Linked DNA regions of Rhinolophus ferrumequinum. The protein of the gene in region 2 interacts with the protein of the main gene of each other region in a biochemical or structural test. Links are inferred from orthologs where the notes say so. Each region holds a gene or a part of one and is shown on either strand. Other genes may lie near its edges.

Evidence for each region.
Region 1: the proteins of TOM1 (region 2) and TOLLIP form a complex in vitro, tested with the Homo sapiens proteins (3 studies listed by BioGRID and IntAct, with this or other methods). The link is inferred for Rhinolophus ferrumequinum from reciprocal best matches to the Homo sapiens genes TOM1 and TOLLIP.

The regions. Positions count from the first base shown.
Region 1 is NC_046294.1:836,208-843,347, reverse strand, and holds the start of TOLLIP (toll-interacting protein), read left to right. Parts: upstream 1-4,140; 5' UTR 4,141-4,278; coding exon 4,279-4,311; intron 4,312-7,140. UniProt on the Homo sapiens protein: Component of the signaling pathway of IL-1 and Toll-like receptors. Inhibits cell activation by microbial products. Recruits IRAK1 to the IL-1 receptor complex. Inhibits IRAK1 phosphorylation and kinase activity.
Region 2 is NC_046293.1:11,036,241-11,043,477, reverse strand, and holds the start of TOM1 (target of Myb1 membrane trafficking protein), read left to right. Parts: upstream 1-4,236; 5' UTR 4,237-4,457; coding exon 4,458-4,509; intron 4,510-7,237.

The sequences.
Region 1 (7,140 bases), on a different chromosome or scaffold from region 2:
GAATCGCCAACTTAAACATCTGTTCACTCGTCTGTCTGGTTTCCTCTTTCCTCGTGACTTGTGGGAAGCGTTTATGTCGTGGGTACCGATTACCTGGTGTTAGACGTGGTAAGTGTTTCACCCTTCCCCTCTGTTACCTCCGTCTCTAACGTAGGCAACAGAAGCTCGGCTGCCATTGGATAGTAGTGTGACTTAAATGACACAGTATGTGTAAAGCACTTACAATGACACCCGGCAAGATGAAGCACTCAGACATGTGGCTCATGTCAACTATTATTCAAGGACCCCAAGTAACAGGTGCACAGAATGCCCATCCAGGGCTCTGGGTGCGTAGGGTGCTCCGTGACCACTGGCCTGTGCCATTATGAGCTGGAGCCCAGACACAGGAAGGGTGAGGGCAGTGGGACTCCCATAACAACGTGGAAATGGACTGGACTCGGTGATGACTGCACAAGTGGTGACATCACTCAGGTGACACACAGGGTTGGGTGTCTGAATGTTGGCACCGGGTCTCAGAGAATGTAGGCAATGAGTTGGAGGAACCAGTGTTGAAGTTAGGGTTCCCTTTATAGTCGACTCTCAGCAGAAATACACTGGGCTGGACCCCTGGCCTCCAGCATTGTTTCTTCTTTAATTCTCCTGCCAAACGTGTCTTCTCTGCCCAGCTCTGTGGCCATACGGTTCGTCCTCAAAGCTCCGTGGTGTCGGCTCATTGTTACACCTTGCGGTGGCCCCAACGCCCACTCTAGGTTTGAAACCCCCTTCTCTGGCCCACCTAACTCCCATTTTCTCACCAGCTCCCTCTGCCTTTCTCAGGGATATTTGGTCAGTGCCCCGAGTGTCAGGTCGCCCTGGTATGTAGAACACCTTTATCCTGCGCTTGGCTCACCGAGCGGCTCTCGTCATCATACCTGTTACCTCCCAACTCCTCAACTCCTGCTCAGTGCTTCTCAACAGATCAGAGAGGGCGGTGACAGCTTTTCTTGGCTGTATCCTTTCCAAACATGGCATAGATTATTGAATTCATCAAGTATTGATTGGATCAATTCCATCAGAAATTGCTTTTTTGTTTGGTGTTAAGGTAGGGGTCTGATTTAAGTTTTTCTGTAAGTGTAGCCAATTGTTTTAGCCCATTGATTGAAAGTAATTCCTGTCCCAACTGCTCGGCAGTGCCAGCACCCTCATAAATCAAGTATCTGTATTTCATCTCACTGGTAAATTTGTCTATCCCCATGTCAGTATCAGTCTCAATTACTGTAGTCTCATAAGACATTTTTATTTCTCCTACGACAGTTCCTTTCCATCTCCTCCTCCTCCTTCTAGAATGTGTCAGTTATTGTTTTGTTCTTTCGCATTCATTTCAGAATCAGCTTGTTAAATTTCTTCGAAAAACCCTTTTGGAGTTTTAATGAAAATTTCTTCTGTAGGACAATTTGGGGGAGAAGTGACAGATCTGAGACGTCCTGTCCATGAATACGGTATGTAGTTCTCATTTTATTCAGGTCTCCTTCAATAACGTTTTATAACGTTAACACTTTTGCTCACTTTTTAAGAAGTTTTGTGTCCCTTCTATTCTTTCGTTGCTCTTTTCAATGGTATTTTACAAAACTGAATCCTTTGGTTATTGCTGGTAACTAGATGCATGTGCAGAAGTGTCTCCATTTGCCCTCCCTCCCAGGTCCACGCTCCACCTTTCTCTGCCTCTCTCTGTGCCCCGAGGAGCTGACGTCTACAGGCTGCACCACTGGGCTGTGTTCAGGGGAGACACTGTAGGAGGAGACAGGTCGGAATGCCTCTTCCTCAGACCCCACCTGCAAGCCTGCGGTTTGGCAGGTGGCCTCCTCCCTCTGCATGGCCCACACGTCAGCCCAGGATGCCTTTTCCTGGCTACTGCTGCCTCTCTGTCCTTTTAAGACCAGGAGTGGTAGTGGCTTCCTGAAGCTCAAATTTCCTCCACGCTTCAGTGTCTTGCTTGTTCACTTAACTCTGCCCTTCCCTTATAAACAGTCCGTTTATTAAAATTCCTCCAATTATCTTTCTGAGCATGCCATCTGTTTCTTGCTGGGACCCTGACTGATACAGTAATTGCCACCATAAGTGTCCCCAGAAACCGACTCTCCTAATAGGATTCTAGAATTGGGTTGCTTATATATTTGATGAGCATGTGGATAAAATCCTTGCCAGAGGGAAGTCGAGCCCTGGGGATCTGTGTCATGCAGTGGTATCCCAATCCCTCAAATGATCTCCAGCGGTGGCCTGGGACGTGGCGCATGTGGAGGGCGGACAGATGGGAGGTCAAGAGGCTGAGACACTGAGCTGCTTTGGCAAAATGGTGATGACACAGATTGTGCCGTGGGCTGTTTACTTCAGAAGACTCTGGGAAGTGGACACAGAGGAAAAGGACAATTCAAGCCTTGGGTGTGTCAATGCTGTCCCGTCAGACCACCGGGAACACACCTGTAACTCAACAGGGTGGGACTGTCACTCATTGCAGCAAAGGACAGCACACACCGCAGGGAAGCACAGGGTGACGTGTCAGAGGGCATTAGAAAGGATCTGGGCTTCTGTCAGTGATTATGGGGGAGCTTTGAGCAAGCAGGGTTCTGCTCTGGATCAGGTGCTGTCAGAAGCAGGGGTAGCCTTCTTCATTCTTACCTAGGAGGGAAGACTAGGGGAAGGCTCAAGCTGGAGTTGGTAAGCAGCAACAGCCATACCAGCCAGGAAAGGAGATGTTAGTCTTTTGGCGTGGAGGCTGTCATGTCGTCTGTGTTCACACATGACCAAGGAGCCATCATGGCTTTGTATTGATGCACTGTGGTCACAGTGGCCCCGACTGCTCTGATGTTTTGTGAAACTGCTTATGTTCAACAAAACAGAAGGACCAGCAGAAGGCAGGCCTTTTGCACTTCCTTCTCTGATGGAAAATAAGTCTCTACGGAGGGGAACCTGGAACGAGTGGTGGAAGAAGGAAGCTACGATCGTCAACCTGGGCCTCATCACAAGTACAGAAGATGGAGAAGCTGCAGACATAGCTTCTGTTTTTTCGGTCATTTCCCCTAACAAGGGGCATTGGTAGGTAACGCTTCAGTCCTTGCTTCACTAAAGACTTAGACGACATCACCCATGAAGATAAGGTCGTGCACGGGGCCTTGTTTCTCCTGCCCTGAACACCCATCTTCCCGAGGCCTGTGAAGCACGGCAGCCCACAGTCACCTCTCCTTTAGCTTGACTCCCACTTTTACAAAGTATACATGCAAGTGCTCCTCCCCCCGGAGGATTTTGGGTCAATCAAGGGCTTTCGTTCTCTGGCCCCTCAATCCACAATCCCCCTCACCGGGGAGGCTTGCACATTGGCAGGAGGCTGTCCATCCGTGGCTGGTATCGGGACCCTCCTTCTCTGCTCGTTGATACCAAGGTACAGAATCTCCTCCAAGAGCCTGGCGCTGCCCCTGGCCCCGCTCAGTGGTCTGTCATCGTGACCAGAGGCCCTCGGTGGAGGGAGGGTCACTGGCGCCCCCAGGCCCCCCCTCCCAGCAGCAGGCCCTCCTCCCTGATGACTCCCGGGTAAGGCCCCCCTGTTGTTACGTAACAGCTTTGCTGCCCGACTCACACAGGGGCCGCTACCATGGCACTGGCTTTTGCGAAGAGAAAGAGCAGTGACTGAACGCTCAGTCGGCTCGCAGGACACCGGAGGTCCCACTCAGATCTGTCGGGGTGCAGCTGGAGGTCAAAGGTCTCTCCTCTGCCCACGCCTGGGTGGCACGTCTTGCGGTTTGGTCTCCTGTCCCTGAAAGGCAACTCAGTGTCTTGTTAGCACCAGGACAGGCTCATTTGGGGCTGGTTGCGTTTACTGTCCCTGCGCCCGGGTCCAGCCGAAGGCCCAGGGTGGGGAGGGCCACTGAGGCTTCCCGGCGCCGCCAGGAGACCCGCTCAGCAGACCCCACAGTCCGTGCGGTCGGGGGGCCGCTCAGCCTGCGCACCTGCCGCGGGACCGCCTAGGATGCCCACCGCGCACTCCGGAGCCATTTCGGGCGGCCGCGGCGGGGAGCAACTGCGCAGGCGTCCGCCGGCACGGCGCGTGCGTGCGTGCGCGGCGCCGGAAGGGGCGGGGCTGCGCGGCGCCTGCGCAGTGCGCGGCGCGGGGCGGGGTGGCCGTCAGCTGACTGTGGCGGCGGCGGCGGCGGCCTCGCTGGGGACAACCGTCGGCGTCGCAGGCTCCGGCGGAGGGTCGCCGGCACGTCAGCTCTCGTTGGGCGAGGCGCGGGCCGGCGCAGCACCATGGCGACCACCGTCAGCACGCAGCGCGGGCCGGTGAGACCCCGGGCGGACGGCGGGCGGGCGGGCTCTCCCCTCAGGGCGCGGGCGGCGGTGCGCGTCCGTGGCCTCCGGGGCTCTCGGGGAGGCCCGACCACGGGCTCCGGGCTCCGGGGTGCGGCCCCCCGGTGCAGGAGGCCCTCACCAGGGTGGGCCCCCGGGAGGGAGGAAGCCCCCAGGCCCGGAAGGTCCCTCGGGTGGAGGACGCCCCGCCAGGGCCGGTCCGCCGAACGGAGGCGTCTCCTGCGCCCTGTGGCCTCCCCGGCACAGGAGTCTCCCGAAGTCCTAGTCGGTACCCCGGATGGAAGCGGCCCCCGCGCCCTGGTGGGTCCCGGATGGAGGAGGCTCCTGCGCCAGGGGCGGGTCCCCGGATGGGGACGGACCCTCGCCGGGGCCGGTTCCCCAAATGGAGAGCGCCCCCGCCCCGGGCCTAGACCGTCCCCCACGGAGGAGGCCCCGAGCCACGGACTCCGCCCGCTTCCCCTCCCTCGCGGGGGCAGAGGGAGGCCCCCGGGCCCAGCTGTGTCCCTAAGTGGCCACTTATCGCAGCCTCAGTTCCTTCCTTTGCAAACGAGAGGACGGGAGCTCAGGACCGCGGGCGGCCCTTCCCACCCGCGCTGTCTCCGGGGCTCCCGTCGGTCTCCACGGCCCGCGCGCTGCCCTGGAGAGCCGGTGTAGACGCGCCCTGGGACGGGGCCGCGCGCAGCTCTGGCAGGCGGGGTGGGGGCGCGTTGTCACGCGCCGGGAAGTTTTTATGGGCAGCGGCTCAAAATGTGCAGTAGACAGACGTTCCCTTTACGTGGGGAACGTTGTCCCGTGATGCCACCGTTGCCCTCACTCAGTCGCTCTGCCTGTAAAGCCCAGTCGCCCGCGCCTGCCCCTCGGCCCTAGGACGGGATGTTGACAAACGCTGGTGGCGGTTGTCCTGACTAGAGGAGAATCTTTTCCAGAGAGTATCTTTTCTGAGTGACGAAGACCCAGGTTCTGTTAGAAGTCCTGAGGGCTTTGCGTTGGACGTGACACACACACCGGGTTTCTCTGGAACCGGCCCCCAGGCGGCAGAGAGGTTTCCGGATTCCCTCTGCCTTTGAGCAGAGGGACGGTTCCCCTCTCCCCGTCCTCCCTCCACAGTGACTTACGGCGGGCTGACAGCCAGCCGGTTCTCATTGCTGCACAGCCGGCTGGTCAGAGAAGCAAGGGAACCAAACGAGCCGCTCCCTTCTCCGCGTCCCCCAGGGAGCAGTGGGCGCAGGGGGCCTGACCTGTCCCGTGTCCTCACCCACCTGGTGCGGACCTCGCTGGTGGTGAGTGTGAACGTGCGGTGCGGGGCGCAGTGGCCAGAAGTGCGCTCTCAGTAAGGGTCGGCCCCCCTGTGCGGAGCAGCGGTCGGCGCGGGGACTGCACAGAGCTGGGGCAGCTGGCACCACGGGACAGCAGCTGCGGGGTCGGGCGTTCCCGTCCCGCACGTGGGGCCTGGGCCGTCAGAGGTTCTGTCCCTCTTGCCATGTGTACCGTGCTTCCCGGCCTGTTCTCTGTAACAGGCGAGTGGCCTTATGTCCATGTGTTGGTGTGCAGCGCACATAGACCTGCAGATGTTTTCGGGGTGCTCTCCATGGCCTGTAAACACAGTAACGTTAGATCTGGGCCCGGCTGCTGGGGGCCTCCAGGAAGGTGTCCTCAGGGGCAAGGGTCTTGAGTGCCCCTGGAATACACGTGACTTACTCAGCCAGTGTTGCTGATCATGACATTTGGGACGAGCAGGTGCAGTGCCTGCCAGGGAGGGGGTGGGGGGTCTTACAGTGTGGCATGGGGAACCACTGGCACGCATAAGCAGGCAGACGAGCGCGGCGGGGATGGTCGCCGTCAGCTCTGTGGGTCTTAACTTAGGTATAAACAGTGGCCGGTCCTGGGCCGGGAGTTGGGGTGGGTAAAGTTCTTGGAGGGACCTGAGACAGGAATGAGCAGGACTTGTTAGACGAGGTGGGGTGTGGCGGGCTGCGGAAGGCCAAGAAGGGTCCTGAGGGCAGGGCCTGTGCCACTGTGAGAGAGGGACAGGCGGGGCCGGGCGCTGTTCCACATGGGAGGCCTGGGCTGGCAGATGGGTTTGCTCTGGAGTTTTATCTGCTCACTACAGTGTTACTTTTTTTAACAACATTTTTGCCTGGCACGCATCCTCGCGGAGACCTCCCTGGTAGCCAGGGTGCATGGACTCCATCCTGTCTGGGCCCTGCGTCCCTGTATGCTGGGTGCCGTGCAGGTAGACGGGTCAAGAAGCTGCAGTACCAGCTGGTGCTGGTAAAGGTAGCATTTGGCTGTGCTCACTGCCCTGGGTCCTGGCTGGGCAGCAGTCCTGAGGGAGCCCTGTGCCCTAGGGCCGTGTCCCTGCCTGAACAGGATGGGGTCAGCCCTGGCACAGGCTGCCCAGAGCCTGGACTCACTCACTGGGGCTGGCTCGGAAGCCTGACCTTGCCTCCCACTCCTGCTCCCGCGATAAAGGAGTGACAGGCAGAGTCCGTGGGACTGTGAGTGAGAAAGGGGAGTCACCAGGGAGGGAGGCTGAGGTGGCCCTTGTCCATGCTTGCTGCCCGTGGGGCGCCTGAGGGGTGGGTGAGATGGCGTGTGAGAAAAGGTGCCGCCCACGCTGAGCCGGCCTCACGCCTTCTGTCCTGCTTTCTCCCCGCAGCAGCTGATGGGCTTCTCTGCCTAAGGTTCAGCAGACGTGCTGTTTGTATCTCCAGGGTCACGTTTTCCCTTAATAGTCTGAGGATGGCCCAGCCCTGTGCTGTTTGCCCCACTTTTTAACAATGCTCGTAGTTTTCTAATGAC
Region 2 (7,237 bases):
GGAGTTTTGTGAGCCCTGGCAACATAAAACACCTTGGAGACGGCAAAGCTGTCAGTGCCACCAGTTGAACTGCATATATTGTGAGTTGACCCAGAATCTTTGGTCTGCAGAACGAAGAGCTGGTATCTTCCATTGGCAGCATTCGCTTAGCCGCCAAGTCTTCACAGGTCCCGCTGCTAGTTGCTTGGTGGCTGTGGATGATGAACTTCGCCCGGCGGGATTCTTGGGTCCATCTCATTGGCTCCCCTGGGGGGCAGATACACCGTGTTCTACATACCACACATGAGTGAATTGCAAAAAATAGTACTCGATTCTCACGTAGGTTTATTTATGCGCGTGTGTGAATGTGTGTTTTAATTATGTGTATTTAACTCTTTAAAATCTTAGATTTTAATTTATCCTGTAAATTTCTGTACATATAATTTAATAACAAAAGCCTCCACCAGCAACAGCATGTGGAAGATACAGACTTGTTAATTTCTTCCCCCCTTCCTTCCTCTGGCCTCCTCTGAAAACTCCCATCTGCATTTTAAGGTATCATGCCTCAACAAGGTATCATTATGTAAGGATTCTAATTCCTTATAATTCAATAATGTCAAGAAAGTAAAATAAAATGGAATGTTTCCCTTCCCAGCTGCCCGTATTTCCAAAGAACCAGACTTTTGCTTCCTAGTCCCAAAGAAGACAGTTGAGCGCTTCAGGGTTGTTTTTAAATGTGGTGTGAGATTCCCTGCCAACACCCAGCTCTGAGGTAACTGTGCTTCCTTCCTGGGGCCTGGATGGAGCTCCACAGCATCGAGGTGGATCATTGCGGACAGGGCAGCTACGCTGCATCTTACTTAACTCCTTCCCTTCTCCCGACCGGTGGGGTCACCGGGCTGTTTCCTAAAGGTATTCTTGCTGCTAAATGCCTTTCTCAGCTCAGAGCAGTTCTGAGTTTTAATGGGGGAAACAGAAGGAAACAAGAATGTCTGGGAACCAAAATCAAGAAAAACAGAAATCTTGTTTTGATTTCGTGTGTTAGAACTTGTACCACGCCTCATCTGTACCCCTGGAAGTTTCCTGTTTGACACAGGGTGTGAAGGAGGGGCCTTGGAGACATGGATTAATACGGAAAGAAGGCCAGTCCTACCATTGTCATTTGAACACATTAATGAAATCCTGATGAGGACCTGTTTTTTGTTTGTTTTCCTTTAAAATCCAATCCTATTGTATTTGTATTTAAAATTTGTACACATTTGTATAATAATCTGTATCTTGTGGTATTTGGTACTATTAGAGGAAAAACTTTGGATTCAGACCTTGCAGTTTTTATATCATTGTTTTATTTTGTTTTTTAAATAAATTCTAGCGGTTTGATCCAAACTCCATTACAGTTGTATAAAGAAATAAAATTTTGTACTTATATTATTAAAAATCACATTTTTAATATTTGTAGTCCAGTCTCAGCTATCTTTTCCCTGCTGCCAACCAAAGTTGCTCCAAAATTGTAAAACCTGTTTTCCACACTATATCCTACCATAATTATCTTAAAAAGAAAAAACCCATCTAGAATAGAGGTCAAGTTTCTGATCTTAGCCATTTTCCTAACATACACCTTCCTCTGTTTCTATTAATATTAACTCTGACGTTGTGGAATCTCTCATGTTCTCTCTTTCGCAGATTGCAAGCCCAGTGACTCTGATAAAGTGTAGTTCTGTTCACTGGCAAATAAAATAGTATGTACATTACAGTGTTCGCCTAGCTCAAGAAAATATTCATCTGTAAGGTTCACATCTGAATCATGTACTTAATGTGATATATTTCACACAGTTTCAGCACTGTCCTAACTTGGTGGTATTGGATAAGTCACGTAATCTTTATAGGTGTCCTAAGTCACATCTGTAAAAGAGTGTTCATGTCACTTCCTTGTCTCCAAGCCAGCAGCCAGCCAACCTGACATGAATGTTTAGAACTATTGTGAACATTTAATATATGGAAATTTGACCTTTTTCAAGGTAAAAATTTCAATGCAAACAAGGTGTTACTAGTCATAAAGTGAAATATTATGATTGAAAGGCTAACGTACAGAGAGGCAGCAAGAAAGACATCACCATATTGCTGAATACTATTATAGAGAATGACTTGCATATTTTCTCTCACTTAATCCTCCCAAAAGCCTTTTGAGTATTATCCCCCTTTACAAATAAAGATGCAGAAAAGTACTTTCCCTAAGGTTATACAGCTAGTAGTAGACGGTAGCGCCAGAATAAGCACACTGTTCAAACTGACCCCAAAGCCTAGGCTCTCTTCTACCCAAAGCCACTTATGTAATCCATCAGAATCCTCCGTTATCTACAGTACTGAGTGATTGTAGGAAAACTATCTGAGACTGTTTCTTTGTTCAAATGCCCTTTTGTCCTAGGTGGATTTTACGATAGAGGCCTCACTTTCTTGTCATACTATTGTCTTTAAACTTTATTGGCAAAGTATCTTGATTTTTGTCTAGTAGCACTTACTGGATATGATAGATGACATTGCATTTAAGCAATATGTCAGTCTTAAGGGACGTAAGCATTTTTCCCTTTGAAGGTAAAAGGAAGGCATTTGATATTCATAAAACACTTAAAAGGTAAAATTAAAATGGATTTTTTACTAAATGACTGTTCCTTGCAAAAAATTTTTAAACATACTTTTAATCAGTTTTGTACTAAATATTTTCCATTTATATTCCTATCGTTTGTGTTGACAAAATCCACACACTTCCATTTCTAACTGAATAGATACACAGTATTCTGTTTGCATGGAGTTAAGATGATTTTACTCCGCTTGGGGGGTATGTGGGTTGTTTCTGCTTTTTTACTATGAAGGATAAAACTTACAGTGGTTTTATTCTTGGCAGTAAAGCCAAGATCTTTTGCCCATAATCACTTTAAACCAGAGTGATGCAGGAAAGCAGGAACTTCTGGTAAATCACCACCCAAAATAATGGAAGAAGCCAAAGGAAGTTCATGCTAAATATACGCCATACAACCAAGCAATATTCTTAAAGGAAGAAAAATATGTATGTTACCTGACATGACGTTCATCTTAAAGGTACGTGCCCCCCTCCCATAGTCCAAATACCATTATTGAAAGGTAGATGATTTAAATTTTCTTGTTAGTCATTGTGCTAGACAATAGTGGTGAGGAAAGGAGACATAGTATCCCAGCCCTCATGGAGCATCTAGACTAGTGGGGGGGAGGGCATTTATTAAAAGGATGGGCATTATTAAAACACTTCAAAGCACAGGAGTACGTGACTCCCATAAAGTTTTTATATTGTGCATTAAAGATGTCAGCCCTCAAACAGGTTGACATCTGTTAAACACGTTAACACACAGAAGTGATTAAGTTCTAATTTAGGTTTTCCATCCTAAATTTGTGCACAATTTAATAGGCTTTCAAATTTAAGAATCACAAACATCGTGGTCAGTAAATACTAAAGCCACTAACTACCAAAGCAGTGGTTATTGTATCTTCTGGTGTGCGTGTCAGAAGAAAAAAAACAACCAATAGGTCAGATCTAATGTGCAGGCAACATCTGAAACATGGCAGGACAGGAAGGTTTAAGGAGATACTAGAATCACAAAGCTGGGGAAGGCCTTTGGAATCTTAATTCTTGAGGTCCACAGCTGTACTTCGGCGACCCCAGAAACTCCCTGAAGTTAAATTGTGTCTCTGCCTTTTCTCTTCAGAAAGGCTCATGGCTTCAAATTCTCAAAGGAGCCTGTGACCTAAAAAAATCAGAGTCCTCGATCTAATTCCAGCATCCAGAGAAAAATGGAAACTCACTGCTTGAATCACACAGTAAATGGCAGAGACGTGCCCTGCTCGTGGCTACATCTGTGTGCTTTCTACCACCCTGGGCTCTAGCCCGTCCCAAGTTGGAATTCATTGAGTTGTCTCTCTGTCAAAGGATCTCAAACCCCTGGACCTCGACCTCAGATAGGAAGAGTTCTACCAAGGCAAGGAGACAACCGGCCAAAGAGGCGTCAACCCCAGCGGAAGGTGAGGTCCCAAGAGCTAAAACACGTAAGAGTGAGAACTGTAGTCTGGGCTTGCTCTGCAACCTTCCCCAAGTCATTTCTCTGGTCTGGGACCCGGTTTTCCCGGTGTGTTAAGAGATCACTAGGCCACGCCCCTAAACCTTAGAAAACGTCGAGGGCGTGGCTTAAAGGTCCAAGCTCTTTACCGCGCTACGCTGTGCGTGACGTCCGCCGACACCGAGTAAGCCGCAGTGAGGTCACCGCCCTCCTTCTCAGTGATCCCGACCCTCCTTCTCAGGGGCGGGGCCTGTGGCCACGCTCCAGACTCCCTCCGCCCTGCCCCCACCGGCGCCACCTCGCGGACCATCCGGCGCGTCACGTGACGGGTCGAAGGCGCTGGCGGTTGCTGTCAGCTGATTCCACGGGTTGGTGGCAGCGGCAGCCGCAACGATGGACTTTCTCCTGGGGAACCCATTCAGCTCTCCGGTGGGACAGCGCATCGGTGAGTCCCTGGAGTCTCGGCCAACCCCGACGCAGGGCTTCGCGCCCGGCCTCGGTCCCCGCGGGGCTCACCCACGTCCCCAGTCACACACCGGAGGGAGGCAGGGAAGGGGAACGCGCCTGGCGCGTCTCTCCGAGACTTGGCCCCGCCCAGTCTCCCGCCCATCTTGATTGACAAAAGCCTTGGTCCATTAGGGAGCCTCGGATTGTGATGGATACCTGTCACAGCCAATAGACAAAGAGAGAGGGCGGGTCCGCCCGCGGCTCAGCCAATGCGCGGCTGCTGGGGTCGCGAATACAGGGAGAAAGTTTAGACGGTTAAAGGGACTGCCAGCTTTCGCAGTCCTTGGGGTGTTCCATTTTTTACCTCTGCGCGTTCCCAGCTGGGGTCGCGCAGCCTGGGCTCTTGCCGTCTCCTTCCTGAGTTGCCAGGCTTTCCGGATACGGATACCTGAGAAGGGCTAGAAGTTCATTCTCCCAGGATCAGAGCTGGGCGTCTGGGCAGCTCTTCTCTGGCAGTCCTCAGCCACCAGCGTCAGCTCTCCCGCATAGAGTTGCCGGCGCTCCGAGCTGCAGTGATCTTAGAAACCACCTGATGGGGCCTCCTTTATTTCTCAGTAGCTCGGACAGCCCAGCACTCTGGCCAGAGACACAGGCTTACTCAGAGCCCAGGTCTCCTGACTCTCTTACCCCCTGTTGACGGGACACGTACTAGTTCAGTGACGCTGCCTCTCTGTGCCGATGTTTCCTTCCCTGTAATTAGCGGATAATAAAGGTCCCTACCTCCGTGGGGTTGTTGTGAAGATTAAACTCATTAATAAATGTAAAGTACTTAGAACAGTGCCTGCCAATGTTCTATAAAAGACAGTGGTAATATTTATTGTCAGTGTTACTGAGATGCCACCAAGGGAGGCTCGGGAGTCCCTGCAAACGGCGAGGTCGTAGCTCTCATAGGTACTCAGTCCTGCCTGCACCACGGGAGGACCCACGGGCCCTCCCAAACAGCTCACACTTCTCCAGGGAGTCTGGCTTTGTCTCCGTCTTTCATGAGGAAACCGCAGGCAGTACTGTGAAATCCTCTCTTCATCTTTTTTGATAGTTTAAAGCCTGAAACCCAGGTTGGGAAAATTGGATCTTTTAAATAAGACATTCTTTCCATTCTTAAATGTCTTGGAAGCCAAGCCTAACTTAAGTCTGTCAGCCCAGCTCTGTGTTGTAATTGTCACCGTGGCTGTTTGTGGCTCTTCTGAGGTTTTGTAATCAAATCTCTCCAACAGGGGTGTGGCCGTAGAGGATTTACAAATCACCAGGAAGCTCCTGGACCCAAGAGGGGAAGCTGTCCTCTCAGGACCACCAACACCCACCCCCTGCGGCTCCCCCACACCACACACACACACACACACACACACACACACACCCGGGTCATTGTTTTAGAGCTGAAAAGAAGGTAGCTCTCCTTTCATCTTTCTTTCTTCAGCTACAGATACCACTGCTTTCATCACATGCCAAGTTTGAGACTTAACTACTTAAAACAAAACTCTGCCCTTCTAAGTCAGCCTATAAATACCTGAGGCTTTCTTGAAAAGCTCACCTGAACTCTGGGCCTCAGATGGTCAAAGAAAACAGCTTCTCTTTTTACCCTGAAAGGGTTGCCTGCCTTGGGTAAGAAATACTCTGTCCAAAGAGAATGCTACTAAATCATAATACATTAGAGCACAAACCAAGTTTCACTGCTGGAAGGGTCCTTACCCCGGGGCTCTTCTAACCTAAAGTTCTCCTCTGAATCCCCTGGAGATCTTATTAAAGCACCGCAGGCTGGGCCCCACCCCCAGAGCTTCTGACTCTACAGGTGTGGGGTGGAGGCCTAGAATTGGTATTGTTAACAAGTTCCCAGGGGATTCTAATGCCACTGGATTGGAAACTGCATATTGAAAACCTGTTTCAGTCCATCGTCTTCATTTTACGAAGGAAAATGAGGCCCAGAGAGGGGAAGCTAGAGACTGTGACTCACCCAGGACCCCGGTGAAATGATAGGAAAGATGAGATGAACTCCCCAGAGCCACTGAACTTTAGAGCAGAAGAAGCTCTAAAAGTAGAATTAAATGAAGAATATCTGCCCTCGGTATTCCATATTTTTCTTTTAGATAAAGAGGCGGAAGTACCACCGATTGGCTGTGATTATTGATGACCTAATATTAGCGGCTCGTATTTCTATAAACTACCCGAGTACAATAATCTCAAGCCTGCCAACTCCATCCCTTAGTGAGGGTAGAGCCCTGTAGACTTGATGTCCCTGAACTCAGTGGATTCTGACGCTGTGTTGGGAGGTTGTTGTGTTGTGTTATGAAACATGTGCCCTGGTACCTGCCAGACAGTAAGTGTCCATAATCGTTAGCCATTGTGATTTTTCACTGGTGTGATCATCATTGCTGGGGCACACTCTAAGTTAGTGGCAGAGCCAAGGTGCCAACCAGGGCCCTGATTGCAGTGCAGCCTCTGTGTTGGTCGCGGCATCATTGGGAACGAGCAGTGACTGGCCGGCTGGCAGCCATATTCACAGACAGGTCAGGTTTCAGGCTGTGGGGTGGAACCGGTTCTCACTGGGGAATTAGAGCCTTTGACTGGCCCTACAGCTAGAACTGGTAAATAGGTTTTGTGAATAGGTTTTGTTCCCTCACTGAGTCAAAGAAATAAGAGTCAAGTCCCGGATTTCCGCCCTTTTGGATTTA